Linked DNA regions of Stegostoma tigrinum. The protein of the gene in region 1 interacts with the protein of each later gene in a pairwise test. Links are inferred from orthologs where the notes say so. Each region holds a gene or a part of one and is shown in the gene's direction. Other genes may lie near its edges. The genes, in order: atpaf2, rad54b, pkp4 and lrrfip2.

Region 1 (7,668 bases):
GAAATGGAGGTGCGGCTTGAGGTGGGAGGAAGGGATGGGTGAGAGGAAGAACAGGTTAGGGAGGCAGAGACAGGCTGGGCTGGTTTTGGGATGCAGTGGTGGGAGGGGACGAGCTGGGCTGGTTTTGGGATGCAGTGGGGGAAGGGGAGATTTTGAAGCTTGTGAAGTCCACATTGATACCATTGGGCTGCAGGGTTCCCAAGCGGAATATGAGTTGCTGTTCTTGCACCATTCAGGTGGCATCATTGTGGCACTGCAGGAGGCCCATGATGGACATGTCGTCTGAGGAATGGGAGGGGGAGTTGAAATTGTTCGCGACTGGGCGGTGCAGTTGTTTATTGCGAACTGAGCGGAGGTGTTCTGCAAAGCGGTCCCCAAGCCTCCGCTTGGTTTCCCCAATGTAGAGGAAGCCACACCGGGTGCAATGGATACAATATACCACATTGGCAGATGTGCAGGTGAACATCTGCTTGACATGGAAGGTCATCTTGGAGCCTGGGATAGGGGTGAGGGAGGAGGTGTGGGGGCAAGTGTAGCACTTCCTGCGGTTGCAGGGGAAGGTGCCGGGTGTGGTGGGGTTGGAGGGGAGTGTGGAGCGGACAAGGGAGTCGCGGAGAGAGTGGTCTCTCCGGAAAGCAGACAAGGGTGGGGATGGAAAAATAGCTTGCGTGGTGGGTTCAGATTGTAGATGGCGGAAGTGTCGAAGGATGATGCGTTGTATCCGGAGTTGGAGGGGTGGTATGTGAGAATGAGGGGGATCCTCTGGGGGCAATAGTGGCGGGGGCGGGGTGTGAGGGATGTGTTGCGGGAAATGTGGGAGATGCGGTCAAGGGCGTTCTCGACCACTGCGGGGGGAAAGTTGTGGTCCTTGAAGAACATGGACATCTGGGATGTGCGGGAGTGGAATGCCTCATCCTGGGAGCAGATGCGGCAGAGGCAGAGGAATTGGGAATAGGGGATGGAATTTTTGCATGAGGGTGGGTGGGAAGAGGTGTATTCTAGGTAGCTGTGAGAGTCGGTGGCTTGAAATGGACATCAGTTTCTAGCTGGTTACCTGAGATCATCTCCAACACCATCCATGACCTCATCCACCAAACCATCATCTCCAACACCATCCATGACTTCATCCACTAAACCATCATCTCCAACACCATCCATGACCTCATCACCTCAGGGGACCTCCCACCCACAGCCTCCAACCTCATTGTTCCCCAATCCCGCATGGCCCATTTCTATCTCCTTCCCAAAATCCACAAACCTGCCTGCCATGGTCGACCCATTGTCTCAGCCTGTTCCTGCCCCACCGAACTCATCTCCACCTATCTAGACTCCATTTTCTCCCCTTTGGTCCAGGAACTTCCCACCTACGTCCGTGACACCACCCACGCCCTCCACCCCCTCCAGGACTTCCAATTCCCTGGACCCCAACACCTCATTTTCACCATGGACGTCCAGTCCCTATACACCTGTATTCCTCATGCAGATGGCCTCAAGGCCCTCCGCTTCTTCCTGTCCCGCAGGCCCGACCAGTCCCCCTCCACCGACACCCTCATCCGCCTAGCCGAACTCGTCCTCACCTTCAAGAACTTCTCTTTCGATTCCTCCCACTTCCTACAGACAAAGGTGGTGGCCGTGGGCACCCGCATGGTCCCCAGCTATGCCTGCCTCTTTGTAGGTTACGTGGAACAGTCCCTCTTCCGCACCTACACAGGCCCCAAACTCCACCTCTTCCTGCATTACATTGATGACTGTATCAGCGCCGCCTCTTGCTCCTCAGAGGAGCTTGACAGTTCATGCACTTCACCAACACCTTCCACCCAAACCCCAAGTTCACCTGGGCGATCTCCAACACATCCCTCACCTTCCTGGACCTCTCAGTCTCCACCTCAGGTAACCAACTAGAAACTGATGTCCATTTCAAGCCCACTGACTCCCACAGCTACCAAGAATACATCTCCTCCCACCCACCCTCCTGCAAAAATTCCATCCCCTATTCCTAATTCCTCCGCCTCCGCCGCATCTCCTCCCAGGATGAGGCATTCCACTCCCGCACATCCCAGATGTCCACGTTCTTCAAGGACCACAACTTTCCCCCGCAGTGGTCGAGAACGCCCTTGACCGTGTCTCCCGCATTTCCCGCAACACATCCCTCACTCCCTGCCCCCGCCACAACCGCCCCCAGAGGATCCCCCTCATTCTCACACACCACCCCACCAACCTCCGGATACAACACATCATCCTCCAACACTTCCGCCATCTACAATCCGACCCCACCACCCAAGCTATTTTTCCATCCCCACCCTTGTCTGCCTTCCAGAGAGACCACTCTCTCCACGACCCCCTTGTCCGCTCCACAATCTTCTCCAACCCCACCACACCTGGCACCTTCCCCTGCAACCGCAGGAAGTGCTACACTTGCCACCACACCTCCTCCCTCACCCCTATCCCAGGCCCCAAGATGACCTTCCATGTCAAGCAGATGTTCACCTGCACATCTGCAATGTGGTATACTGTATCCATTGCACCCGGAGTAACTTCTTCTACATTGGGGAAATCAAGCGGAGGCTTGGGGACCGCTTTGCAGAACACCCCCACTCAGTTTGCAATAAACAACTGCACCTCCCAGTCGCAAACCATTTCCACTCCCCCTCCCATTCTTTAGATGGCATGTCCATCATGGGCCTCCTGCAGTGCCACAATGATGCCACCCGAAGGTTGCAGGAACAGCAACTCATATTCCGCCTGGGAACCCTGCAGCCATATGGTATCAATGTGGACTTCACCAGTTTCAAAATCTCCCCTTCCCCCACCGCATCCCTAAACCAGCCCAGTTCATCCCCTCCCCACACTGCACCACACAACCAGCCCAGCTCTTCCCCTCCACCCACTGCATCCCAAAACCAGTCCAACCTGTCTCTGCCTCCCTAACCTGTTCTTCCTCTCACCCATCCCTTCCTCCCACCCCAAGCCGCACCCCCATCAGCCTATCTCTGATAATGGGAACTGCAGATGCTGGAGATTCCAAGATAATAAAATGTGAGGCTGGATGAACACAGCAGGCCAAGCAGCATCTCAGGAGCACAAAAGCTGACGTTTCGGGCCTAGACCCTTCATCAGAGACCTTCTCACCTATACTCTCCTCTCTACCTATCGTGTTTTCTCTGCATCTTCGGTTTCCCTCCCACTCTCTCCCTATTTATTCCAGTTCCCTCTGCCCATCCCCCTCTCTGATGAAGGGTCCAGGCCCGAAACGTCAGCTTTTGTGCTCCTGAGATGCTGCTTGGCCTGCTGTGTTCATCCAGCCTCACAGCTTATCTCTGTTTCCCTAACCTGTTCTTTCTCTCACCCATCCCTTCCTCCCATCTCAAGCCGCACCTCCATTTCCTACCTACCACCTCATCCCACCTCCTTGGCCTGTCCATCTTCCCTGGACTGACCTATCCCCTCTCTACCTTCTCACCTATACTCTCCTCTCTACCTATCCTGTTTTCTCTCCATCTTCGGTCCGCGTCCCACTCTCTCCCTATTTATTCCAGTTCCCTCTCCCCATCCCCCTCTCTGATGAAGGGTCTAGGCCCGAAAAGTCAGCTTTTGTGCTCCTGGGATGCTGCTTGGCCTGCTGTGTTCATCCAGCCCCACACTTTGATATCCAGTTAGCTCATAACTGTTTCTCTTGTAATTTGAAATCTCGTATTCATTCATTTTTACGCAAAAGCTGACATGGCACTTGGAGCACAAGGAAACAAATCTTATGATACGAGCTTCAATCAGAACTTTAGTAGGAGTATGCTGATCCGGCCTTTAATTCCATTACTGTTTATGGTGTACATACAACCTGGCTCTTGTGTTTCCTACATTAAAATAGTGACTACGCTTCAGAAAGTGGTTAATTAACTTGTACACCATAAAAGGTATTACAGAAAGAGATTCATTGTTATTTATCACTAATTTTCAGTGTTACACAGGAATTAAAATACATCCTCTACTCTGAGAGGTAAAGTCACGGTTAGGAACTTTTCAGTGATTGGAAACTTTTGATAAAAGGCATCCACGTGATTGGATCATCCCCGACCAGCTTCCATGAAGCCCCGCCCCCTGCTATTTGATTGACCCGTGTGCCGCCTTGTGATTGGATACAGGGCACATCCGTCAACGCATGTTTTGCGGGGTGGCAGGTCAGCAACATGGCGACGGCCTGAAGGAGAGTATTTGCTGAATGTGAATGTCTTCCGAAGCTCAGTGGTGGATTCAGTGAGCGATTTACGGCAGCAGCCGTTGCCCCGTTGGTGCGATTCCTCTGCCGAGGCTGCGGGACCATGTTGTGCCGTCTCTGGGCCCGGGTGCTCCCTCGGCTCAGGCCTGGGGTTGGTTCCCAGATGATGGGAAGGACGGTGGAGTGGCGGCGGCAGTATCCAGCAGCGGGTGGGTGAGCCAGAGCAATGGAAGCCAAACATGTCATAACATTCAGAGGTAGTAAGATCTGCTGATGCTGGAGTTAGAGGTCACCCCGTGTGGAGCTTGATGAACACAGCGGGCCGGAGGAACAGGAAAATTCATGTTTCGGGTCGGGACCCTTCTTCAGAAAATCTGAGAGATTGGAAACTGGGATAATAAAATGTGAGGCTGGATGAACACAGCAGGCCAAGCAGCATCTCGGGAGCACAAAAGCTGACGTTTCGGGCCTAGACCCTTCATCAGAGAGGGGGATGGGGTGAGGGTTCTGGAATAAATAGGGAGAGAGGGGGAGGCGGACCGAAGATGGAGAGTAAAGAAGATAGGTGGAGAGGAGAGTATAGGTGGGGAGGTAGGGAGGGGATAGGTCAGTCCAGGGAAGACGGACAGGTCAAGGAGGTGGGATGAGGTTAGTAGGTAGCTGGGGGTGCGGCTTGGGGTGGGAGGAAGGGATGGGTGAGAGGAAGAACCGGTTCGGGAGGCAGAGACAGGTTGGACTGGTTTTGGGATGCAGTGGGTCGGGGGGAAGAGCTGGGCTGGTTGTGTGGTGCAGTGTGGGGAGGGGATGAACTGGGCTGGTTTAGGGATGCAGTAGGGGAAGGGGAGATTTTGAAACTGGTGAAGTCCACATTGATATCATATGGCTGCAGGGTTCCCAGGTGGAATATGAGTTGCCCATCCTTAAACCAGCCCAGTTCGTCCCCTCCCCCCACTGCACCACACAACCAGCCCAGCTCTCCACCCCCCCCCCCCCCCCGCCACTGCATCCCAAAACCAGTCCAACCTGTCTCTGCTTCCCTAACCGGTTCTTCCTCTCACCCATCCCTTCCTCCCACCCCAAGCCACACCCCCAGCTACCTACTAATCTCATCCCACCTCCTTGACCTGTCCGTCTTCCCTGGACTGACCTATCCCCTCCCTACCTCCCCACCTATACTCTCTCCACCTATCTTCTTTACTCTCCATCTTTGGTCCGCCTCCCCCTCTCTCCCTATTTATTCCAGTTCCCTCTCCCCATCCCCCTCTCTGATGAAGGGTCTATGCCCGAAACGTCAGCTTTTGTGCTCCTGAGATGCTGCTTGGCCTGCTGTGTTCATCCAGCCTCACATTTTATTATCTTGGAATTCTCCAGCATCTGCAGTTCCCATTATCTCAGATTGGAAACTGGGAATCGATTACAGAGAGTCAGCCGTGTGTCCGTGGGACCACCTGAGCCTCTGAGCTTCAGGATTGTAGATTCGATCCTGTTCCACAGACTCGAATACAGAATCCAGGTTGATACAAAAAAAACATAGCTCACAGAGTTAGTTCTTTCGAACGAGGCATTAAACTGGAGCTCCCTCTGACCACTCAAGTGGCCGCAAAAGTTCTAGACCATTTAAAGAAGAGCAGGGAAATTCTGTCCAGTGTTTATCCTCTAACAAAAGTCATGAAAATGTTCTTTTATCGTTGTCATAAACAGATGGGCTCGAGCACCCCAGAAGAGGCCGCACGTTGGCTGTAAATCACTCTCTGTCCACAACCTGTGAAATTAGCTGTACAAGTACCACTGCTTGCCTTCTGTACACATTGTTGTTAAGATATGTATAGAATGGCTTCCTAAGCAGCATGGGATCCAAAACTGGTATTTTAGAGTTTTTGGTTGTAATCTATGTTTAGAACAAGAATAAGGTCAAGTAAATATTAGCCTGGCCTGGCTGTCAAGACACCTTTCCTTTGCTTGTTTGAAATTTTAAGTTTTTAGTAAATTTTTCTGATGAGCAACGTGGTGGAATACAGTACAGGTTCTGAGCCCTTTAGGACTGTTCTACAATGGCCTCAGTGGCTGTGACCAGTGTAATAATTCAGCAAACTAGAGGTATTTGCTTGATTCTTTGAAGGTACCTGGACAGAAGTCCCAAAAAATCGTGCTTGATTTGGGTAATTATGTAAGTCGCTTATGCTGTAACTGGGTTAAATTGCTGTGCACACTTGGAGTATATTATTGTAGATGCACTGTTGCTGTGGTGCAAGTTTCAGCAAATACAGATAAATAAAAGTCATCTAATTATTTTTGTAATTTTACTGTTTTTTAGAGCGGAAGAAATTTTATCAGGATGTTAGCATTTCTCAAGGGGAAGGTAAGACTTGTGCTTTCCAGTCTGATATTTAAAAGTAGTGTTTTTTATTTAAGATTAGATTAGATTCCCTACAGTGTGGAAACAGGCCCTTTGGCCCAACAAATCTACACCGCCCCTTGAAGCATCCCACCCAGACACATCACCCTATAACCCACATATCCCTGAACACTACGGGCAATTTAGCATGGCCGATCCACCTGCACATCTTTGGGCTGTGGGAGGAAACTAGAGGACCCGGAGGAAATCCACACAGACACAGGGAGAATGTGCAAACTCCACACAGACAGTCGCCTGAGGCTGGAATTGAACCTGGGTCCCTGGCACTGTGAGGCTGCAGTGCTAACCACGGAGCCACCGTGCCGCCCTACTGTTGAATTTCTTTGAGTCATCCAGTCAATGATGGTGATCTCCATCCTTGCCTTGCTCATCTGTTGAAATCACATTTATGTCTTTCTTATTTTTATACAACATTCGAGCATACTCCTACCTGGCTTCACATAACCTTCAGCTCATAACTATCTGCCTGAATCTTAACTCTCACCAATTCCTATTCATCCACCATTTCTCTGCTTGCTAACCCAATTTTAAAATTCTCATTTGTTTTCAAACCTATCCAAGAGCCCATTTGCCTTTCCTCATCTCTGTAATCTCTTCTGAAATATCTACTGTTTTAAGTATTGTCTTTGTGGATCGCTGCTTTGAATCACACTAACGTTGGTGGCCAAACCTTCAACTGATCTCCTGGAATTCCATTGCTGATCCTCTGTGTTTATCAGTCGTCCTTTAAAATCTACCCCTTTGATCCATTTAGACATTTCACTTGTTAAACGTAGTTTGTAAATGCAAATCTACTTGTTGCTGAAAGTGCCAAACAGGGCATGTGAAATGAATCAGCTGAAAGTTAGTTGCATTGGAAAGGCCTGAACTGTTGAGCTCCATGTTGAGCTCATTACTTAACTGTTGGCAGAGCTCAAGTACACTTGGTAGTCATAGAATCCTTACAGTCACACTGTAGTCCACACTGACCTTCCAAAGACCATCCCACCCAGACCCATCCCCCTACCCTCTCTCTGGAACCCTGAATTTCCCATGGCTA
Region 2 (7,906 bases), on another chromosome or scaffold:
CTATCAAACTCCTTTCGAGATACTCAAATCTGGTGAAGCATCACTCTATCTTAATTTTTTTTTAACTGATGGCATTGCAAGCATATCCTTTTGGCAAATTTCTACATGTTCACAGGATATGACTATTTTCATTATTGACTTTCCCACCAGTTACTTTGCCAACTTTTCCTAACCAAATTTTAAGAAAAGCCCAATCTATTTTTACTGTTAAAATAAAATATAAGACTTCACTCTGACTTTTATAGCTTGGACTATGTCATGACCATGTATTATAAATCTGGATCATCTACTGACAGCACAAACTTTAGTTATAACATTTTTTAAAGAACATGCAGCCAAAAGTTGACTATAGATGTAAATTCATTGCCTTTCTGGAGAGAGACTTAGTGGAATGTTATACCTGACAAGGTGTCAAGGACACGTCAAAAGGAATTTACTTAAAAGGGGAGAAAATGTACTACCGTCTAAATTGTAATCTCCTAAGTGCAGCTCAGAATGTGATCATGATGGTAAAACAGAAAGCATCTGTGTGAACAATATAGTTTCATGTTCCAATTTGAAGAATATACAGAGACAGGGGTTAAAAGTGGATATGTTAGTGGCCTTATGTCATAGTGTGTGGAGGACCATACTATGAAGGTCACAGTTTTGAGAACAGCTGTATGCGGGTAAAAAAGAGAAAATATGTCTCTCACTCTGAATGCTGGAAACCAGGCAAGCCAGTCAAAAGGAACCAGGAGAACAGAAGAACTCCCTTGCTTTGAGTGCTGCGAATCATCTAGCCAGCAGCCATTGTTTGAAGGAACCAGGACAAAAGAAGTTAAATTAACCTGCAAAACATGAGGACATTCAAATCCCTCTGTATTTCAGAGCTCTACAATCCATGACCATCTAGATAGTGGGCTACATTTTTAGCCTTACTGCCAAAATGGACAATTTTATATTTGTCACATTTGCCACCAATTTTCCCACTCAATTAATCTATCAATATATCATGTTTTAACCTCCTTTTGTCCACATCTTACTTTCCTCTCTAACATTTTTGTTGTCAGCAAATTTGGCTTTCATACCTTCTAATCGGTAGGAAAATAAATTCTTAGTTTTCTGTAATCACAAGTATGTACTACAGCTAGGAGACTGAACATGTAAAGTTGTGATTGGTTAATATAATCCTATGTAGTAGTTTGGACATGATTGGATAAAATAGACATGTGTACATATGAATTGTGTGAACACAGTTGGACAGAGGTACAGGGAGTAAATATGTAACCTTCTGACTGGAAATTGTTATCTGTAGGAATATTTAATTATAAGTTTGTTATATGTAAAAATTATATAATACCTGCGTTCTTGCAATAAAGATTTGAGCCGTGTGCCATTTTCTTGAAGTGTATATCTCTCATACAGACATGAATAAACATTTGAACACAAAAACCTGTGCCTCATTTGGTTTAAGACAAAATAAAGGATTAAACACATCTGTGTGACTCCATTTGTTCATCTTAAATCTTTGATATAAACTCAAACAGTTGAGGTCTCAGTACTGATCCTTGTGGCGTATCACTAATTACATCTTGCTAATTTGAAAAGGACTGATTTACACCTGATGTCTGTTTGTTGTTAATCAGCAAATCTTGCATCCTTACCAACAAGCTTTCCCATATTATGAGCTTTAATTTTCTATAACAAACCTGACGTGGCACCTTATCAAATAGTTTCTGGAAATTTGAGAACTGGTATTGCAATTCACAGGTTCCTGGCCACTCATTTAACCTGCATATATCTGCTGACTCTTTGCATTACCCTCACCGTTTGCCTTCCCATCTATTTTAGTGTCATCCACAAACTTGGTGATAATACATTCACTTCTCTCATCCAAATCATTTATCGTGTAAATAATAATGGCCCCAACATTGCTTCCTGAGGCATTGGTTAACATCCTGGATGTTTGTTTTTATTCACTCATGGGATGTAGGCATTGCTTTATTGCCCATCCCTAGTTGCCTTTGAGAAGGTGGTGATCAGCTGCCTTCTTGAAACACTGCAGTCCACGTGCTGTGGGAATGTGGGGAGGAAGGGATTCCAGGATTTTGTCCTAACAACATCAAAGGAATGGCAATATATTTCCAAGTCAGGATGGTGAGTGGCTTGGAGGTAGTTGTTTTCCCGTGCATCTGCTGTCCTTGTCCTTTTAGATGGAAGTGGTCGTGGGTTAGGAGGGAGCTGTTTTAGAATTTTTGGTGGAATTTCTACAATGCTTTTTTTCAGATAGAACACACTGTTGCTACGGAGCATCAGTGGTGACAGAGTATACATTTGTGGATGTACTGCCAATCAGGCAGGCTGCTTTGTCCTGATAATATTAAGCTTATTGGAGCTGCATGGATCCAGGCTGGTAGGCAGCATTCTAACACATTCCTGACGTGTATCTTTTAATTGGCGGACAGGCTTTGGGGAGTCAGGAGGTGAATTACTTGCTGCCGTATTCCTAGCTTCTGACCATGTAGCCACTATTTGTAGGACAAGTTTAGGTGAGTTTGTGGTCAATGGTAACCTCCAAGATGTTGATAGTGGGGGATTCAGTGATGGTAATGTCATTGAATGTCAAGGATCCATTTTTAGTTTTTTTTATTGGAAATTATCATTGTTTGGTATTTGTGCAGCACAGATAATTTTTGCTAACCTGTGTCTTGAAATTGTCCAGGATTGCTGCATTTGAACTGGACTGCTTATGCCTGAAGAGTCGAAAGTGGTGCTGAACACTGTGCAATAATTGGTGAACATCCCCATTTCTGTTCTTACGAGGGAGGGGAAATCATTGATTAAGCAGCTGAAGATGGTTAGGCCCAGACATTCCATTGAGGAACTGCTACAGTGATGTCCTGGAAATGAAATTACAGACATCCCAAAACCACAATTATTTTTTGTTGTGTCACATATGGCTACCCAGAGGAGTTTCCATCCTGATTCCTATTGCCTGTAGTTTTGCCAGTGCCCCTTGATTCCACACTGGGTCAAATGCAGCCTTGATTTCAAGGGGAGTCATTCGCACTTCATCTCTGGAGTTCAACTCTTTTATCATTCAGAGATCTCCTTCAGACATGTCCTGAGCTCAGATGATTGACCTTCAGTAATGACAACCATGCCACATGCGCCAGGTATGACTCTAATAAATATCTTCCCACTCTCCCCGCAACTTTTTCCCAGCTTTCTGTCTTATATTAGTTAGTTAATTCCTTTCTGTACTAATAATATGAGGAATTCAAGGAGACATTGGATTATTTGAAGAGAAATAGTGTGCAAGGTTATGAGGAAAATGCAGGAAATTAGCATTTAGGTAATGATGCTCAATTGAAGAGCTGGTAGAGGCATGATTGGCCAGATCTGTAACAATTCTGTGATACTACCCCCAACACATTTGGTTCTTACAAAGTAGCCTAACATGTAGTACTTTATCAAATACCTTTTGAAAATCCAAATATATTACATCCACTGGTTCCCCTTTATCCAACCTGCTTGTTACCTCATAGAATAGAATCATAGAATTGCTACAGTACAGATTGAGACCTTTCAGCTGATCAAACCTGCACCAACCATCTGAAGTTCATCCACCCCACTACTCTACTCCAGAACCCTGCATTTACCATAGCCAATCCACCTAGGCTGCACATCTTTGGATTGTCAGAGGCAACCGATGCACCCAGTGGAAACCCAAGCAGTCACGGGGAGAATGCGCAAACTCCACACAGTCGCCCAAAGTTGGGATTGAACCCATGTTCCTGGCATTGCGAGGCAACAGTGCTAACCACTGAGCTATTGTACCACCCAAGATGGAAGATGGAAACACGTAAAAATTTCTTCTCTCAGACGATCATTAATATTTGGAGTCCCTTTGATAGAGAGTAGTGGAAACTGCATCTTTGAACATGTTCCAATTAGAGCTTGATCCACAAGGGAATCAAATATTATGGATGAGGGTGCTGACAAGGGAAAGTGGAGTTTTGGCCATGATGAGATCAGCCATATTTGTACTGAATTGTGGAGCGTACACGATGGCCAAAACGGAGTATTGCTACTTGTATTTCTTATTATTCTATGGCACAGTGGCCAGTCCTTAAACCACAGCGTGTCCCCAGTGAGAATTTGGAATGACTGCCCCAAATTTACACATGAAATTCTGGGTGGTATGTGCCTGTTCACAACACTCAGTCGTTATTGTGTTCCAGGGTTGGTGAACTAAGTTGGTCGATCTCCAGCAGCAGCAGTTATTTGTTATCTTGGTGCAAGTGACTGGGAATGAAACACACCATCTCCTTTCCCGACATGCTTAGAATTGCAAAGGCAGATCCCAGGGAGCAGAGGTAATGGTAAACAGTGCAAAGCATGATATTTCGGAGCATTAGTATGCAATGCCTTGGTGGATTTGAGAAAGTATTTTAATGTAAAAGCAAATTTCGCGCGGGCGAAGCGCGAGCGCAGCACATGCGCATTGCGTTGCACGGCTGCACCCTCGGAAGCGGGAAACATGAAGTGATCGAGAGGTGATATTTTATTATCATCCACCGGGAGATCGGCCCTACCTGTAACTGCGGGGTTAGATCATGTCCATACGGCTAGATACTTCTCTCCTGAAGGCCGGAGTAACAGGCGACTGAAATGCGGAGGTCTTCAGCTCCGAGTCAGCTCAGTGGCAACGCAGCTAAAAAGTTCAAGTTTATCCCTCCCAGGAGCGGGGGGCCTGGTTCGGCAACCGCCAGTCTCCCGGCAACGAGTGAGGTACAATCTAAATTAAGTTTAAAAATAAAATGTGCCAGGTATCGCATTTTGAGTTTGTCGATCACCTGTCACAATGCCTTATTACTGAGACTGTTCCTGATGTGTATGTAAATTGCCTATATGTAACTGTCTGTATAAATTTAATTTCCGTCATTCTGACCGGGGAGCACCACAGGCAGTTTACTGTGTATCTTATAAAATCGAAAGAATAATTGTGAGTTTATGAAGACCCCCAAGATATCACCGTGCTGCTTTCTGTCGTCCTGCTATATGTGTAGCTCCCTGGAAAGAATAATTTATCCAGTTTTCGTTGTGGGTGCAGAGACACCACATTTGTTTTCCAAGTTAGGAAGAGAAGGTAACCAAAGTTGTTTTCTTAAAAAAATATATATATATATATTCAATTAGTATTCAGTAGGCTTTGTTTTTGGTGATGACAGACTTAAGCCTTGTTTCTGGAGCTTCCTCCCCGAACCCCATCATGGTCTTCAAGTTTGCTGCCTTAACTTCAAGGGATGTAAACATGACTCTTTGTTGCCGATAACTGATGCAGCCATTCATTACAGGACCTACCAGGAGCACGTTGTTGGGTCAGGCAATACTGCCAAACTGCTTACTCTTTAATGATCATTCTTGAATGTAAAGTTAATTTCAGGCTTATTTTCTCCACTACAAACTTTCTTAAATGCCTCACTCCCAATGATAAGTAGGAGACATTCAAGATCTGCCTTGTCTCTAAAGTTGAAACTGGCTGTTAGGAGAAGTGAGTACCCTTATCAAGGTATCATTTGACTCAGAATAGCATCAAGGTGCTTCAGCTAAACTGAATTTGACGAAAATCCACTAGTTTAAGATATACCAACACAGATTGTGGTTGTTAGAAATCACCTCAGTCCCAGGATATTGCTGCAGCAGTTTCTCAAAGTTGTGTCCTAGGTCGACCAACTTCTCACCTGTGTTATCAATAACTTTCCATTCAAATCTTGAGCTGAAAAGGTCACAAATTTCAATTCATCACAAATTTAAGAAAGTTTCAGCGGAGGCCTCTTATTGCTGTTAAATGATCTATTTGACCTTGGACTTGCCCCAGGCCAAGTGACTCCCTATGCAGATATAGAGTGTTTCTTTCAGTTTTTCATTCAAGCCCACACGTCGATTGGCTATCGTACTCCAACATCAGTTTGAAAGTCAATTGTTCGCTGACTGATGTTCAGCACCACTGAGACAGGTGCTGAAGCACTCCGTGTCCATATACACCACAAACATAGAAGTTTTTAGGCTTGGGCTGATAAAATGGTAAACAGAATGGTAATTTTTGCCACAGAAGTCGCAAATGATTTACCTCCGGCAAGTGAGACAATCTTCCTTGAAGATTTTAATGACATTCTCATAGTTAAATTTGTCACCATCATCAGCACAGAGGTAATCACGAAGCAGAAGCCTTAACATATAAGTACAGTGGCTGCAAGAGCAGGTCAGATGCTGGAAATGTTGTGATGAATGACTCCTTACTCTCCAAAACATAACCACCATCTACAATACACAAGTCAGGAGTACGTCAGAATAGTCTTCACTTACCTGGATGAGTGCAGATCCAGGGAAGATCAAAGATTAACAACATTCGGGATATAGCAGCTTGCCCAATCAGCACCTCAGCCATCACTTTAATCATTTGCTCCCTCTACACTGGCTCATGGTGGCAGCAGTGTGTACTACGTACAAGAAGCTCTACCAAAATTAATCTAGGCTCCTGTAACACCATTTTCTAAATTGGCAACCTTTTCCATTGAGCATTAGATACATGGGAACAACACCGCTTAGAAGTTTTTCTCTGAGTTCACGCAGTGCTGACTTGGATCACAATTTCCATTCATTAATGGGTCAAAATGCTTAGTATTTCTTTGAAAGTGCTATGGTGTACCTACATGAGGTGGACCACTTTTTTTTTCATTCTTTCATGAGATGTTGGTGTTGCAGGTTAGGCCCGCATTTATTACCCATGTAGTGAGCTGCCTTCTTGATTCGCTGTAGTCTATTTCGGGTAGGTACAACCACAATGATGTTAGGGATTGAGTTCTAGAATTTTTACCCAGCAACACTGGAGGAATGTTGATTTTTCTTGTCATGTTTACCGAGATACAGTGAAAAGCTTTGTTTATGAGCAGTGCAAATAGATCACAGCAAACAAAGGATGTACAGATCTAAAAGACTTTGAGGCATACCGGTTATGTTGCAGATTACATTATTTGTGGCAAGAGTCCATTCAACAGTCTGATAATGGCCGGAAAGAAGCAGTTCCTGAACCTGCTTGTGCATTTGTTCAGGCTTCTGTACCTTCTGCTTGACGAAAGAGGTTGTAAGAGGTCATTACCAGGTCGTGATAGGTCTTTCATTATGTTGGTTGCCTTTCTGTGACAGTAAGTCGTGTAAATAGAGTCCGTGGATAGAAAGAATGTCAGGAGTCAGGAGATGTTACTCACTGCAGATTTCCTAGCTGCTAATCCCGTGTAGCCACTGTGTTTCTACAGTTAGTGCAATTCAGCTTCCGGTCGATAGTAATCCCTAGGATGTTGTTAGTGGGTGATTCAGTGATAGTAATGCTATTGGATGTCCAGGAGTGATGGTTGGGTGTTTGTTGGTGATGGACATTGCTTGCCATTTGTGTGACGCAAATGTTACTGTCACTAGTCCTTTACATTTAGTCTAGAACTACTTCAGTTTCAAAGCTGTTGAGAATGGTGCTGAACATTATGCAATCATCAGTGAACATTGCTGCTTCTGACCTATTGATGAAGGGAAGGACATTGGTGAAGCAGCTGAAGGTGGTTGGACTTAGCTTGCTACTCTGAACTTCTGCAGAGGTGGCCTGGAGCTGAGATGTCTGACCTCCCAAAAACTACACTCCCGTAATTTCCATTGACTCCACTCTTGCTATTGGTCCTTGATGCAACGCATGATCAATTGCTGCTTTGATATGAAGGACACTCACTCTCCCCATATGTCTTAAATTCTGCTCTTTTGTCCATGTTTAAATGAAGGCTGGATTGAGATCAGGAGCAATGTCTCTTTTAAGCTGTGCACAGCCACTTCAGTGTGTTTTGCTAGGCAGTCAGCGTAGGCATATCCACTG
Region 3 (7,593 bases), on another chromosome or scaffold:
CATTTAAATTCCTGTCTGAGGTATCAAATAGTTCTTGGTCTTGTGCTCTATCTCTCAACCTTCTGGATCAAATCCCTATTCTTGGAAGAAAAATTCCTGGGGAAGTAGTCACTTCTAGCACCTTTTAACAAGAATAAAGTTTGTCTATTTCTGGCTCTGACAGAATTATAATAATACTACCAGTCATGTTCAGTTGGTGTTTGGTTTCATGCTTGTTATCTGGCTTCTGAGTGAGTTAATACCTGAATTGGCAGGAAATGTGAAAGCAATGATGCCAATGAAAATAGTTGGGTTTGAATAGTGATGTAGAAAATGTTGAATTTCCAGTTTAGTTCATTGGCATGTAGTATATTTTTAATCCATAGCTTTTGGGGTTTTTTGCATAAAAGGTCAGCTAGCTGGACCTCTGAGCTCCTTGACTGGACCAGATTAACAGCCCCAATCAAGGAACTTGCTGACATAAGCTTGTTTAGGTATTAGTTTGTTTTTGATTCCTGACCTATGATGCAGTGCTATAGAGTGACTTAGAAAAAGTCACTAAGTCCTCATTTTATTGACTGACTGGATATTCCTATCCAGAGTTACAGGGGTCTTTGCTATAAACATGTTCTGGCAACACTAATTGGCTATAAGCTGTTTGACAAATAGGGAAACGCATTTTAAACGTGAACTTGTGTTGGCTGTGATTCCATACAGTAGGCAGCTTGCTGTCAGGAGCCCTTTGTACTAGTTCACTGTAGGTATTGTTAACAATGTTGTGGTTGAGTCGGAAATTCGGTCAGCTTTTTTCAATAATTGAAACAGACCTGCTGGCTTCTTTTATTAGTTTAAAAATTAGGGTGTAGGGAAAATGGAAGAACAATATTCTTTCCTTTGAAGGGAAACACTGAAGAACAGGAGCTGGGCACAAGAGGCTGCTCCAGCAGACTATGTAAGTAAGCAGCCAGATCATGGTGGGCTTGTATTTCAACTTGTTTGTTTTTTGCACCCTTGCGCCATAGCCCTCCATACACACGGTGTGAATGGCTGAAGGAGTCGAATTTGCTATGGCAACATACGTGTATATATCGCAGTCTGGAACTTTGAATCTCCGAACCTATACTCTGCTTCTGGCAGGAAGGATTTGCAGATCTCACCTTGAGTGCGCCTTGCCGGGCCATTGAGTTCTGAGGCAGGACTTGAACTTTGACCTTCTTGCTTACAAAAGCTTATACCTGTAACAATCTCGATTTTCACAAAGAGCTTGACAGCCACTTAAGTGTATATAAGTGCAGTCATTGTAGAAAATACAACAGCATTCACGCATAACTCTCTCTCCCAAGCAACGTCTGATGAGAGGACAATCCATAATTGTTGCTGACTATCGGATAAGCATTGACTAGGACACCCGGGTAACTGTCCTGCACTCTTTGGAAATAGTGAGGACAGATATGCAATCAGAAAAGGATCTGCCAAACAGCTGTCACAGTCGGACCAACCTGTTTGAACAGCTGCCGAACGTAGTGCTATCCTTTGAGCCACGCTTTTGGTGGTCTGCCCCTAACTCCGCTTTTCTCATTGGCCCAGTTATTTTCCACAGCGTGATTTTTCTGCAGCGTAACTATCGCGTCATAGCGGAACCGCCTGTATTTTGGTTTGAGTGCGTCAAACTATATGAATTTACAGCATGACCCCGAACCTGAAGGTTTTGATGACGATCTTTCAATCTTCCCTGGATAATGACAGTAGTCGTGTCAAAATAAATATGGGAAAAGCCTTAAACCCAACAAAGTCAGCAGCATCCTTGTAACTCCCTCAAGTTTCACAACACCATCTTTCCTATAGCAGAGAAACCAGAATTGAACATAGTATTCAAAGTGGCCTAACCGATTTCCTGTATAGCTGCAACGTGACCGTTCCCAACTCCATACACAATGCACTGACCCATAAAAGGCAAGCATATCAAATATCTTCTCTATCCTGTCTACCTGTGACTCCACCTTCAAGAACTATGAATCAGCACTCCCAGTCTCTCTGTTCAACTGTTCAGCAACACTCCCCAGGACCTTAGCCAGTGTGTAAGCCCTGCCCCGAATTGCGTTTTCAAAATGCAGCATCTCGCATTTAGCTAAATTTAGAAATCCAGCTGCTGCTCCTCTGCCCATCTGATCAAGATCCCATTGTACTCTGACATAACCTTCTTTGCTGTCCACTACACAGTTTTGGCATCATCTGCCAACCTAAACATACCGACTCTGCTCACATCCAAATCGTTTATATAAATGATGAAAAGCAGTGGACTCTACAAAGATTCTTGTGCCTTGTGGCATGCCACTGGTCACAGGCCTCCAGTCCGAAAAGCAAACTTCTACCACCACCCTCTGTCTTCTACCTTTGAGCCAGTCCTAATCCAATGGGCTAGTTCTCCCTGTATTTCCTATGATCTAAATTTGTTAACTAGCCTACCATGAGGAGCATTGAATGCCTTACTGAAGCCCATATAGATCACATCCACTGCCTTCATCAATCCTCTTCGTTACTACTTCAAAAAAACTGTTGTTAGTGACAATTTCCCATGCACAAAACCATGTGGACTAACCCTAATCTATCCTTGCCTTTCCAAATACATAAGTCCTGTCCCTCAGGATTCCCTCCAACAACTTTACCACCATTGCTGAACCTCCACTCTGCTAGCACCTCTCCTGTGGCTAACAATGATACAAATATCTCCACAAGGGACCCAGCAATCACTTCCCTACCTTCCCACTGGGTTCTAAGATAAACCTGATCAAGTTCCAGGGATTTTTGCACCTTTATGTTAACACTACTTGTGGGCTTCAAGTGCTGGTTAACAATCTAGATGCAAGATATTGTGAAGTGACCAGCTATCTAGCAATTAGTTAATCTCTTCATGAGAAGAAAATGGTGGATGTTTACATGAGGAATGCACGGGGTGAATTTTCTAGCAGACTTGTACTTAGCTCTGTTTAAAGAAAAACTGGAAATACTCATTAGGCAGCACCTGTGGTGACAAACAAAGCTAAGATCTTGGGTTGATGATATTTTCTGACTTTGAAATATTAGTGAAAACAGATGTTAAGCAAGTACAAAATTGATAGATGGAACAAGGAAGGGATTGGAGAGACTAAATAACAAATGGAACGGTTCCACAAAGCAAAAGAAAGTGACTGGGCAAGTAAGGGAATAAAAAATCTTGGAGCATAAATAGGACTAGTAGAATCATCACTAATGCTATGATTTGAAAATAGGGGACAGATTACAACCCAGAATTAAATACCATATTGGATACTTAATCTTTGGGACTCAACCTGAAAGTGATGTGCAGTTTGTAAGTTTTGATCATACTTCAGTCCAACAGTGGATGAAGTTAAGGACAAAGACGAGTTGGCATTGTCTCAGAATTAGTTGATTTTAAAGTACAATTGAGGTATCCACCAGAATGTTGCTGTGGGAATTTTGGTTTTGGTTTGTTTTGAATGCTGAAAAGGGAGGGAATAGAAAGATGCTTGGATAACCTAATGCTGAAAGAGGTGGTAATGGTAGATGTTCAATTAAATATGTAGGTTGTGGAAGGGGAAAAGAACAAGAAGAAACTAATCTCCCCGGGGGGCGGGGGAAGAGAGAGAGAGCGAGAACAAATCTAGGAAATGGATCGGTCACTACCCTTTTCGAGATAATGAGAACTGCAGATGCTGGAGAATCCAAGATAACAAAGTGTGGAGCTGGATGAACACAGCAGGCCAAGCAGCACCTCAGCTACCTTTTTCGAGCATCTTTATTAGGTCAATCTACGAGGACTAGTAATTAGGCTGAATGTTTGTTTGGCATAACATTTAATCATTGGGATTTATGAGAAATTTCTCAATGTATACTTAAGAAGCCACTTATTTATCAATCACCATATCTTGCAATGAAATTGTCAATAGTAAAACGCCGGTTTATCTTGGCTTCAATATTTATTTTGGTTTCACAATGCTAACGTGCATCATCCGCAAAAACATTCCGGAACGAAAAAAAAATCGGTTTACTCGCAAAATAATTTACCATTACTTCCTCCTTTTTATTGCCTAAATTGGTGACAATTTGACTCACATCACAAAAGTCCTGGCAGCTGTGATCACATCTCGGACTGATAGATGGCTCATCCCAGAGGCGAATTCCAGTGCTGGGGAAGCCAGGTGAGCTCGCTGCAGTGGAGGAAGCCGCACTCACCTTGCCATCTTTCTCACTCAGCCGCGGATTGTTGACAGGCGACGCCGCGATGGCAACCAAGTACACCTTTCCCAATTGGCTGATTTCGCAGGGGCAGCACCCAATGGAGGCGAGGGTAGCTGGTAGGCTGACCAATGCGGCCAAGCCGTGCCCGAGAGCAGGGCGGTGACGCGGGGTCGATCGTTTCCAGCTTCTCCCCACCCCGTCCCTGGAGAGGGGAGGAGTGAGAGTGAGAGTGAGAGGTTGAGGTTGCTGGAAAGGGGCGTCTGTCCCCTTCCAGTCTTTTCTGGTGCTTCCTTTCGAAGTGTGGCCCGGTCAGCCAGAGTAGTAAGTGTTTCGGTATAAGTGAGGAATATATCTCTGTCTGTGTGTGTGTGTGTGTGTGTGTGGGAGCGAGCGAGCGAGCGAGCGCGAATGAACTGGGAGGTTTGGCTCACCAGTCACAGACAGGTGTTCGCACACCCGTGGGCCAGAGGAAGGTGAGAAACGTTTCGTGGGTGGCTAGGATCCCAGAGCTGGCGTGATTTTAATCGCCTCCAACTCCTGCCACCCTTCTCCTGTTCGTGTCTCAATGTTCAACGACCGGGGACGGAACGATTTACATGACCATTTGGTTCCTATTGTTCTTGATGAAAACCGAGGCGAGAACACTCCCGAAATGATTCATTTCAACTGAAAATGGTGAGGTGGTGTTCCGCGATTGCGGACTGTTTCACTTGAATGAGTCCTTCCCGCAGTGAAGGTGTGGCGGCAATAAAATGAAATTTTCCATTGAGGTATAACTGTATTTTGATTTCGTGTCCTTTTTCGGCTACGTGTTTTCTTGCCTGCCCCTTGTTTAGTTTTTTTTCAGTGCGGTCATAATGGAATATGGCCACTGTTTAGAGAACAATCGAAGGGGGTTTGAGCGCTTATTTTGCATCATTATTAGGAAAAAAAATACGCCTTTGCGCCACTGTGCTGCATTGGCTGTACTGGTCTGTCGAGAATACGATCCTTGATTGTTAATGGTGATAAACCAGTCCCTGTGCGGTAACTGGGCGTTACTAAATCTGTGTGTGACTGTGGTTTCTGTTTAACTTTCTACCGGTCAGTAGACGTGTGTTAATATCGAATATTCTTAGTTGCTCCAATTTTAAGTAATTCTGTCCGAGACATTAGCAATCTAAAGCGAAACAGTCAACTGCACATGTATATCCATTCTATCCTTTGATTTTGTTATTGAGACATTTTGTAAGCGTGATACAAATTGGGTAACTTTAAAGGAAAGTCGTATTTCCAGACAGTTTGAGTTTTCACTTAAACGGCATCTCTGCTAATTTTTTCTTTCTTTCTTGTGCTTGTTTAAAAGCTATTAAAATTACTTTGTACAACAACAATATTTTTCTATAGGGAATTTTACGTAAGTCACCTTTTTAGTAGACAGGTTCCTTGTTCAGAGATAACAAGGTGTGGAGCTGGATGAACACAGCAGGCCAAGTGGCATCTTAGGAGCAGGAAAGCTGACGTTTCGGGCCTCGAACCTTCATCAGAAAAGCTCCCTTGTTCAGACAGCATGCTGTGTTTCTCAATTTAACTTATTTGCTTTCTTTGCACGTATACTGCATTTATGAATAATGTACTCTGATTTTTCTGCTATGAGCTAAAGTTGTTTGGACCACCTGTAATTTTTTTTTGCCCCAAATGAAAACAAATCAAATCTTGCATTCTCTTGCAGGGATAGAAGAGATAAAACAGGGAATGCAAGATGCAGGGTCTTTTGTTAGATTTCCAGATGTGGCATTTGTAGGGAGAGCACCAATAAAACCTGTTGCCTCTGCAATCTAACTTGCAGTTGAACCAAAAATGATGGCGTCAGATTACAGTGTTGAGCAGAAAAAAGATATTTGCACATACCTTGTTTTTTGTATGCTTCAACTTTTATGAATATTAGTGTAGTGAACAGTGAAGAAGTCTGTGAAAAGAACAAAACCTTGATTAGTTGGGCTGAGGAATGGCAAATAGAATTTAACTCTTCATAAGTGGAAACTGTTGCATTTTGGAAGGCACACCAGGGCAGAATTTAATTGTCGTGTTCTGCGCTCTCTTGCTGAACAAAAACCTTGAGGTGCAGGTTCATATTTTCTTGAAAGTGGAGTTCCATGTACACAGGCTAATGAAGAAAGCATTTGATATGCTTGCCTGTATTGGTCTGTGCATTGAGTATGAGAGTTGCAATGTCATATGGATCTGGATGTGTACGTGAATAGAACGGGTTTGGTGGGATCTGGGCCAAGTGCTGGCAAATAGTACTGATTTAATTTAGGATATCTAGTTGGCATGGATAAGTTTGACCAATGGTCTGTTTCAGTGCTGTACAACTCTAGACTCTCTAACTGCAAATAATCATCTTTAAATAAGTAATTTTATACAATTTAAGTCATGTTTATTGTGACCCAACTGGTTATACTAGTAGCTATGGTGCCTGTGTGCCATCTCACTGCATTAGTGACTACTTCCTATCATTCTGAAGTATTGACAAGAACAGGAGGGGCTACTTAGCCCCATGAGTCAGTTCTCATTCAGCAGGTGTTTGTATCTTGCTGATGTACTTGTACTTGTATCAAGTATTAACCATTCCACATGGCAGCTGTGTCTAAACACATCACCTTGTTACCTCAATGTAGATGGCGTAGAGCTAGATGAACACAGCAGGCCGAGCAGGAAAGCTGACGTTTCGTGTCCAGACCTGAAACGTCAGCTTTCCTGCTCCTCTGCTGCTTGACCTGCTGTGTTCATCTAGCTCTAAAACCTATCTCAGATTCTCCAGCACAGGTAGTTCTTGCTGTTTCTCTTGCCAACTGTATTGTGCTATCTTTTCAACTAATTTCAGTATGCCCAGAATAAAAAGAATACAGTATAAAAACAGGATAGAAACAACTTTCAACACTGTCGTCTCAAATGTCTGCTCTTTCTAAAGGATACAGGAAGGTTGATTAAACATGACTGCTTCATTTTTCAGCTTCCATGCTGGTAATTATTTATCAATTCTTTTGTTATTTCATCCTCTGGGGAAGATTTTGTCTGCCTGAATACTGAAGCTAATTGGCTTGTAGTTTTCTGCATTAGTTTTAGGGATGCTTTGTTTCTATAGTGCTTGTCACAGGTATTTTGAGTTGTAACTACAGTTTTATGCTCTTACTATCTGCCAAAGCTTTGCCATTTTTTTAAACAATCTATCCAATGTGCTTTTCAGATTTTCTGCAGAAAACCCTTTGCAATAGGCCATCTAATGTTGATCTGATTCTCAGCAGATTAATTTTACTGAAAGATTATATATTTTGTTTTTAGGGTTTTGAAAGGGTATAGTTTAGGTTGTAAGAGTTTAGAAATCATTTCTTT
Region 4 (8,296 bases), on another chromosome or scaffold:
CAGTTGGGACCAGCTGTCTCTTTTCTGTATCTCATCTTAAAATACCTCATGCTTTTTATGAGCTCCGGTATTGCCTCCATCTTTCTCTCTCTGTTTCCAGGTCTCTCTCCTTAGTTTGTTTTGCAGCTCTTAGGCCTCTTCAATCCTGTGTGGTTTTCCAGCTCTCGGGTCTCTCTGATCCAGCGCTGTTTTCCAGTTTTGGATCCTTTCACCTCTTGCACTTTTTTTGGGCTCACTGGCCTCTCCCATTTTGCCCAGATTTCCACATCTCTGGCCTCTTTCTTCTGTTTTTTCTTAACACCAGCTCTGGATTCTGGTTCTCAAGCTTTTCACAACTGATGAGGTTTTCTGGCTCTACAACCTTTCCTGTCCATCGTTCTTTTTCGGTTCTTGGGCGTCTTATGTCCAGCACAGTCTTCTGGGTCAACAGTCTCTTCCATTTTGCCCAGTTTTCATCTCTTCTCTCATTACCCTTCACTCTGGCTCTGTATTCGGGCCCTCAGCCCTCTCCCAAATGCTGCTGTCTTTTGGTTCTTGGCCCAATGGTATCTAACGTCACAGTCCAGCTCTATTTAGACACCGAGATAATAAAATGTGAGGCTGGATGAACACAGCAGGCCAAGCAGCATCTCAGGAGCACCTGAGATGCTGCTTGGCCTGCTGTGTTCATCCAGCCTCACATTTTATTATCTTGGAATTCTCCAGCATCTGCAGTTCCCATTATCTCTGATTCTATTTATACACCCTCAGGTCTCTCCAATCCACACTGATTTCCAAATGTTTGCCATATGACCTCTTGCACACCTGTGGGTGCCTTCCACGTCTCCAATCTGACTCTACTCTCTGGCTACGGGCCTCTCCTATCAGCTGTTAATTTCTGGCTCTCGGGCCATTTCTTCGAGTTTTATGTTCTCAAATCTGGCCTTTATTTTGATGTTTTCTGGCTCACTGGTCAAACCCATTATAGCTAACTTTTCAGCCCTCAGTGTGCTCCCTCTGGTGCTGTTTTGTGGCTGTGGGACCAGTCTCTTGTGCTGTTTTCCAGCTCTCAAACCAGTCTGCACATGTGCTGGTTTTGAGTTCTCAGATCTGTTCCCACTTGTGCTTTTGAACCTCACCACTGTCATGCTGCATTCTACGTCTTGAACTACTACCCACTCTCACTATTTTCCAGCTCACAGACCACCACATCACACAGTGCTTTTGAACTACTCAGAGCTCTCCCTCTCGTGCTATTTTTGATCTCTTAAACCCCATACTGCACACCCTTGTTTTTGAGCCTTCACATCACGCGGTTCTTCATTTCCCATATGTCTTTATGCTTGGACAATTTTCAATCTCTTAATTTCCTTCCCAACTCACCCTACATCACAGAACATATACTTCCAAATGCTTGTGCTGTTTTCAAGCTCTCACCTCAATCTGTTTTCCCGGGCTCAGATCTCCTCCCCTCTTGAAATGCATCATAGCACACAGACCTCAATACTCAACATGTTTTCAAGCAGTCATCACTCTCCTTGCTGTGTTTTTCAGGTCTCAGATCTCTTCCTTCTTGTGGTATATCCAGCTAGATTATCTATCTTTGAAGTGCCATCAATACTACCTATCACGCGAGTTCACCTCCACTATCCTGATAGCAGTCTCCATAACACCCTACGCTATACACTGCTACAAATGGAATTGAGGTGGAATGCCTCTAGGCACTCATTATAGACAGCAACATCAACCAGGCCAACCTCAACAGTATGCTACCAAAATACTATCAACATGCTTCCTGCCCCATCAAGGGCTGAACATCCTTGACCATTGCTACACACCTGTCAGAGATGCCTACTGCTGCATACCCCATCTACATTCCGAAAATCAGATCACAACGCAGTGTTGCCCGTCACAGCTTACAAGCAGAATTTGAAACATGAGGACATTGTACAGAAAGTAGCAGTGTTATTCCGAGGTACTGTTGGAGCTTCTATGGGAGTGCTTTGAATCGGTGGACTGGTCCATTTTCAAGAATTCAGCGGCCAATCTAGATGAGTATGCTATTACCATTAAATAATTCATTAGCACTTGTGTGGAAGGATGTGTGACAAAATACTCAAACCGAATAGTCCCCAATCAGAAAGCATGGATGAAGCGGAGATCCATTGCCAACTAAAGTCCAGGTTTGTGGCATTCAAGTCAGATGACCCTAATGTTTACAGGAAATCCAGATGTGACCTCCATAAAACCATGAGACAGCCTCCAATGTATCTGTTCCATCATTCACCATTGCAGATGTCAGACCTTTATGAGTGAACCACAGAAAACGACTGGCCGATATGGAGTCCCCCACCATGCACTCAGATTATGCATGTACCAGCTGGCAGGAGTAGTCGCTGACATTTTTAACTTCTCCTTTCTACAATCTGTAGTCCCCACCTGCTTCAAGAAGACCACCATCAGGCCGGTACCAGAAAAACTTCATGCAGCTTGCCTCAATGACTACCACCCAGTGGCTCTGACCTCCACAATTATGAAGTGCTTTGAAAGGTCAGTCATGGCTCATGTCAACTCCAGCCTCCCCTGATCCCTGGCAACTCACTTACCGTTGCAACAGGTTCATATCAGACACCATCTCCCTGTCCTTACAGTCATCCCTGGAATAAAAGGATACCTACATCAGTCTTCCACTCATTGACTCCAGCACTGCCTTTAATACTATAATTCCAACTAATCGTCAAACTCCAAGACCTAGGTTTTTAATCCGCGCTCTGCAACTGGATCCTTGACTTTCTGACCCACAGACTGCAGTCAATGAGAATAGGCAAGAGCACCTCCTCCATGACAATCTCAACACCAGCGTTGTGCAAGGCCCTCCATGTATACTCATGATTGTGTTGTCAAATCAAACTCTGGCAACAAGTTTGTTAATAACACCACCATGATAATCTGGATCTCAATGACAAGACAGAATAAACGAAAGAGGTAGAGTGTTTGGTGGTGTGGTGTGAAGATAACAATCTCACCCTCAAACGTCAGTAAAATGAAAGAGCTGGTCATTGACTTCCGGAAGAAAGGTTGAGGGCACGCCCCTGTCTGCATCAATGGATCTGAGGTGGAGATGGTTAAGAGCATCAAATTCCTAGGAGTGATGATAACCAAAATTGATGCAGTGGTCAAGAAAGCACTACAGCACATGTATTTCCTCAGGAGGCTAAGGAAATTTGGCATGTCCAAAAGACTCTTACCAATTTTAATAAATGCTCCATAGAAAGCATTCTATCTTGATGCATCACAGCTTGGTACGGCAACTGCTTTGGCCAGGATTGTGAGAAACTACAGAGTGTCGTGAACATAGCCCAGTAATTCACACAAGCCAACCTTCCATCCAGTGACTCCATCTATACTTCTCATTGCCCCAGTAAGGCAGCCAACATAATCAACGATCCCTCTCACCCTGGTTATAATCTCTTCCAACCACTTCCATTAAGCAGAAAAGGCAAAAGCTTAAATGCATGTACGAAACAGATTCGAGAACAGCTTCTTCCCTGACTTTGGAATGGACCTCTCCAAATTTAATGTCGACCTCGCTATTTGTACATCTTCTCTGCAACCGTAACATTGTATTCCATGCTGTGTTCTCTTACCCTCTGCACTTTGGCTGGTATGATCTGCCAGTACTGCACAAGAAACAAAACATCTCATGGTCCCTAGCTAGACATGACAATAATATATGAAATTCTAAAAAACAAATCAGCTCTCTGACCCTTCCATCTCATGCTGTTTTCCAGCTCTAGTCCTATTATGCCTTGCGCTTTTTGCAAGCTGCGGCAGGACTCCCCTTTCGTCTTGGTTTTTGAGGTCTTGCACCTTTCCCTTTGGATGTTTTCCGGCTCTTGGGTCTCTCCCATCCAGCACTATTTTTCAGTCCTCAGGACTGTCCCACATGGTGCTGTTTTCCCAGTTGTCAGGCCCTTCCAGTTTTCAGTCTTTTCCCTAATATTGGGAGACCTGCTGAGCTTTTCCAGCTACTTGTTTTTGTTTGATATCAACTGCAGTGCCTTCCTCAGCACATCGCAAGAAAAAAAATTCATTCAGGACTCTGAGAATAGTAGAAACTGCAGATGTTGGAGAATCTGAGATAACAAGGTGTGGAGCTGAATGAACACAGCTGGCCAAGCAGCATCAGAAGAGCAGGAAGGCTGACATTTCGGGCCTGGACCCTTCTTCAGAAATGGGGGAGGGGATGGGGGGGTTCTGAAATAAATAGGGAGGCAGATCAGAGATGGATAGAGGAAGAAGATAGGTGGAGAGGAGACAGACAGGTCAAGGAGGTGGGGATGGCGAGCAGTTTCAAGGCTGAAGAGATTACGAGAGAGTTGCAGTGGGAGAGAGATCTCTTGAAGTTTGTCCGGAGGCAGGAGGGTAACTTCTTCAGGGTAGGCATCGTTAGAAGAGGCTTCACAGTGGGGTTAAAATTGTATCAGAGATAAGAGGAGCTGAAGATGCTGGAGAATCCAAGATACCAAGGTGTAGAGCTGGATGAACACAGCAGGCCAAGCAGCATCAGAGGAGCAAGAAAGCTGATGTTTGCCTGTTTTCCCTATCTGTCTCCTCTCCACCTATCTCCTCTATCCATCTTCGATCCGCCTCCCCACCCCCTCCTTATTTATTTCAGATTCCCCCTCCCCCTCCCCCTCCCCCATTCCTGATGAAGGGTCTAGGCCCGAAACGTCAGCTTTCCTGCTCCGAAGATGCTGCTTGGCCTGCTGTGTTCGTCCAGCTCGACACAGTGCTCATTCGGGACCTCCCTGACTTCCTACAACAAATGACCAAACGCTGAGCTTGTCATCTTCGCCACGGTCGCTCAAAAGGCTCTCCAAACCGCTCACAATCCCGCCTCGCCGAACGCGCACACATGCGCAGAACGTCGCCCCCGAGCGCATACCAACCCGAACTTGTAGCCTGTGCGCGTGCGCACCGAGCCGCCTCAACCAATGCTGGCGCGAGGCACGCGGTTAAGCGCATGCCCAGCGGGAGCCGTTGACGCATGCGTGCAAAGGAATTGGCGGAGTTGCCAGCTGGTGGTGGTTTAATTTTGGGATAGGGTTAGAGTTTTATTTTAAAATCCTCGTTTCAGGCGGAGCTAAAGCCGAGTGGTCGGATCAAGAAACGGGTTTGTTGGTGATGTTTGAACGGGTGGCTCAGCTGGTGACGAGACGAATGGCTGGTTGATTGTCCAGGACTGACCGAAGGAGTGGCCGAGCCGCTTGGTAAGACAACCTCGGGGCCGACTGATCACCAGCACCGCACCTCCGTTCCGTTCCCCCGGCAAGATCGGCGGATAGGCCTTAATCTCCTTTGCCGACCTCGAGGGCTTTTCAAGCCCCTTTTCCTGGCCTGTCGCCCCGAGCTTGACTTGGTCTTAGCCTGGCCTATTGTCACTGTTGGAGAGAGCAGGTCTGAGCCGCGCTGCTGGTGTCAGCCCGGGGCCGGGCCGCTTCCTGCGCTGTACCGCCCTTGCATTGCTTACATTCAAACTCAACTTTTGGCTCCTGTCCAGGATTACTACCTTTTATTCAAAAAATCATGTCTCCGAACCTGCGGAGTTAGCTTGAGGTGAAATGGGTTACCTTGGCGATGAGAGGGCAGTCATGCTGCATTCCAGAGCAGTTTGCTGTCAAACTTCACTGCAGGTTATGAAGACCCAGTGATGACAGGAGTGATAGGAGAGCAGTATAGATAGACATTTTGCTGCCATATCGACTTCTGCTTGGTAGTGATTGTTGAGTTTGTTTATTGTCGTAGCTTCTTGACTATTTTACATGATTGTACTTTTGTTTGAATTCTGCATATTGATTTTCCTAGCTGTAGTTGTTTCCTCTTGACTCCTTTTGGCTTTTGTGCATCTACCCTTTTCTGGCATCTGTAGCTATGTATTAAGTTGCATAGATGTTAAATCCCTTTTTGTATCTCGAATACTGTTCCCTTTTATTAAATCCACCCTTTGACCAAGCTTTGGATCATCCTTCTTAATCTCTTTTTGGTTTGAACTCTGTTTTCTTCTGGCTTCTGTCAAGCACCTCTGTATATTCTTCTAGATTTAATATATAGATAAAACTGCACAATGGTTAACAAGAAGACTCCAATTTGAAACTTTTTTAAACGTCTAGACAGCAGTTTGATGTTGGCACATTGACACTGCAGTATTATGTGCTGAAATGTCATGATGCTTTGCACCTGTTAGCTGTATGACTATGAAAAAAGGAGTTGACCTTCTCCTAGTTACTGGGCTAATTGTTTTTTACATCACAGATAGCTTTACAGTCTTCACATTATTCACAACTTATTTTGTATTCATTTCTTTGTCCAAAATGAATGTCAGAACACTAATTATTTTAATAGTTTGCAACTTTAGTGTTGAAGCAAAAAAGTTGAAGTATAAGTATTGAGACATTACAGTCTGGTTTGAGATCAAGTTATGTTAATTTCTGTTAAATGACATTAACCAGTGAAAGTCATGGGAAATTGCAGCATTAGGATTTGCAGCATAATTTGTCAAACGATATTCTTGTCCCCTGAAGATCATAAGTATTAGAAATAAGAGTAGGCCAATTTGTCCCCTTCTGTCTGTTCTGTCATTCTATAGGATCACGGCTGTTCTGACTTTACTCACGTCCACTTTCTTGCATTTTGTCCGTAACTCCAATTCCCCTCCAAATCAAGAATCTGATCCTTAAATACAAAGGACTCTACCCTTTGTAGCTAGGAGTTCCAAAGACTCACTTCCCATTGGGATAAGGAGGAATTTCTTCTGTCGTAAATTGGCACCCCTCAATCCTGAGACTGTGCCCTCTGTACCTACATTCTCCAGTGAGGAGGAACATCCCCTCAGCATTTTCCTTGTCGACTCACTTCAGAATCGTAAATATTTCACCTGAGATCACCCCTCATTCTTAACTCCAGTGAATACGGTACCAACTTGTTTGGCTGTTCTTCATAAGACAGCTGCTTTATTGAGATCATTGTAATAACAAATATAGAAATTAGGAGCAGGAGTAGACCACTTGACCCCTTGAGTCTGCTGTACTATTCAGTATGATCATCAATCTCAGTACTCTAATTGCTTCTTCCCCCATATTCCTTGATCTCTTTAGTCACACAAGCTGTATCTACCTCCTTCCTTAACACAATATTTTGGCCTTGACCACTTTCTGTGGTTGTGAATTGCACAGGGGTGACACTCTGGGCGAAGAAACCTCTCATTTCAAAACTAAAAACCATACTTCTCATTCTTAAACCATGAACCCTGGTTCTTGACTCCACCCACCATCTGGAACATCCTTCCTGCATCTCGCTTGTCTTGTCCTGTTAGAATTTAATACTTCCCAAGTGATGTGATTCCCTTCCCCTAACCCTGTTAACGTTCTCTCTGAACTGCCTTCAATGAAATGAAACCCTACCTTAAGGGCACCAGATCTGTTCTCAGTACTCCAAAAATAGTCTCAGCAGCACTGCGTACTTCCCTGATCTTATGCCCCAACCTTTGAAATTAGGGCCTATGTTCTATTAATTTGTGACATGTAATTATTCTTTGGAGGAGAACAATTTTGGTAAGAATCTAATTTTGTCTTGTAGTACAACTGGTGGAAGGAGTTCCCCTCCAAATGGTATTCGATCTTATTGGTTTGGACTTGTAGAAGATTTTAATTGTTTGGAGAAAATGGGGACACCTGGATCTGGAAGGAAACGAACGCCTATTAAAGACAGATTCTCTGCTGAAGATGAGGCCCTGAGCCACATTGCCAGAGAGGTTGGTTGAAATTTAATTTTGAATGTTTCCATTATTATCAGCTGTTGTGATTATTCATCGTGGTGGGATGTTCTCACCTTTTATCTTCAGTTTATAGTTTAAATTCACATCCCCTCTAGGGTACACAATGCGACAAGCCAAGGCTTGTGACATACTTTGTATGAGTTGAACTACAGTTTTTATGCAAGTTCTGTTTCAGTATTGGAAAAGAATGCTGCTGCAATCTTACATCTTTAAGTGGTACTGGGACATAACTTTAATATCTAAAAATAGTCTCTTTTTGATTGCCATTGTATAGTTGAGTAACAGATGTATCTATTTGTCTCTAAATTTCACAGCAAAGTGAAGCGCAGGATGTTCTGGAATATTTTTAATTGTTTCACAAGTTAAATATTACTGCCCATGATTTGAGAAGCTGTAGTTTGATAATGTCTTTCAAATAAAAAACGTCATGTATTGCACATTGAACTAATAATGTCCAGCGTTCTAGTTTTGTTCACACTT

Evidence for each region.
Region 2: the proteins of atpaf2 (region 1) and rad54b interact in a two-hybrid assay, tested with the Homo sapiens proteins (2 studies listed by BioGRID). The two-hybrid records come from large-scale screens. The link is inferred for Stegostoma tigrinum from reciprocal best matches to the Homo sapiens genes ATPAF2 and RAD54B.
Region 3: the proteins of atpaf2 (region 1) and pkp4 interact in binary tests that used the Homo sapiens proteins (3 or more experiments, as listed by UniProt). The two-hybrid records come from large-scale screens. The link is inferred for Stegostoma tigrinum from reciprocal best matches to the Homo sapiens genes ATPAF2 and PKP4.
Region 4: the proteins of atpaf2 (region 1) and lrrfip2 interact in binary tests that used the Homo sapiens proteins (3 or more experiments, as listed by UniProt). The two-hybrid records come from large-scale screens. The link is inferred for Stegostoma tigrinum from reciprocal best matches to the Homo sapiens genes ATPAF2 and LRRFIP2.

Annotation. Positions count from the first base shown.
Region 1 is NC_081376.1:20,184,869-20,192,536, reverse strand, and holds the start of atpaf2 (ATP synthase mitochondrial F1 complex assembly factor 2), read left to right. Parts: upstream 1-4,135; 5' UTR 4,136-4,316; coding exon 4,317-4,422; intron 4,423-6,527; coding exon 6,528-6,572; intron 6,573-7,668. UniProt on the Homo sapiens protein: Plays a role in the assembly of the F1 component of the mitochondrial ATP synthase (ATPase).
Region 2 is NC_081358.1:91,295,597-91,303,502, reverse strand, and holds the start of rad54b (DNA repair and recombination protein RAD54B), read left to right. Parts: upstream 1-4,347; 5' UTR 4,348-4,656; coding exon 4,657-4,776; intron 4,777-7,906. UniProt on the Homo sapiens protein: Involved in DNA repair and mitotic recombination. May play an active role in recombination processes in concert with other members of the RAD52 epistasis group.
Region 3 is NC_081360.1:58,118,572-58,126,164, forward strand, and holds the start of pkp4 (plakophilin-4), read left to right. Parts: upstream 1-4,352; 5' UTR 4,353-4,539; exon of another isoform or gene 4,540-4,559; intron 4,560-4,595; exon of another isoform or gene 4,596-4,893; intron 4,894-7,593. UniProt on the Homo sapiens protein: Plays a role as a regulator of Rho activity during cytokinesis. May play a role in junctional plaques.
Region 4 is NC_081358.1:6,313,028-6,321,323, forward strand, and holds the start of lrrfip2 (leucine-rich repeat flightless-interacting protein 2), read left to right. Parts: upstream 1-5,019; 5' UTR 5,020-5,252; intron 5,253-7,617; 5' UTR 7,618-7,702; coding exon 7,703-7,792; intron 7,793-8,296. UniProt on the Homo sapiens protein: May function as activator of the canonical Wnt signaling pathway, in association with DVL3, upstream of CTNNB1/beta-catenin.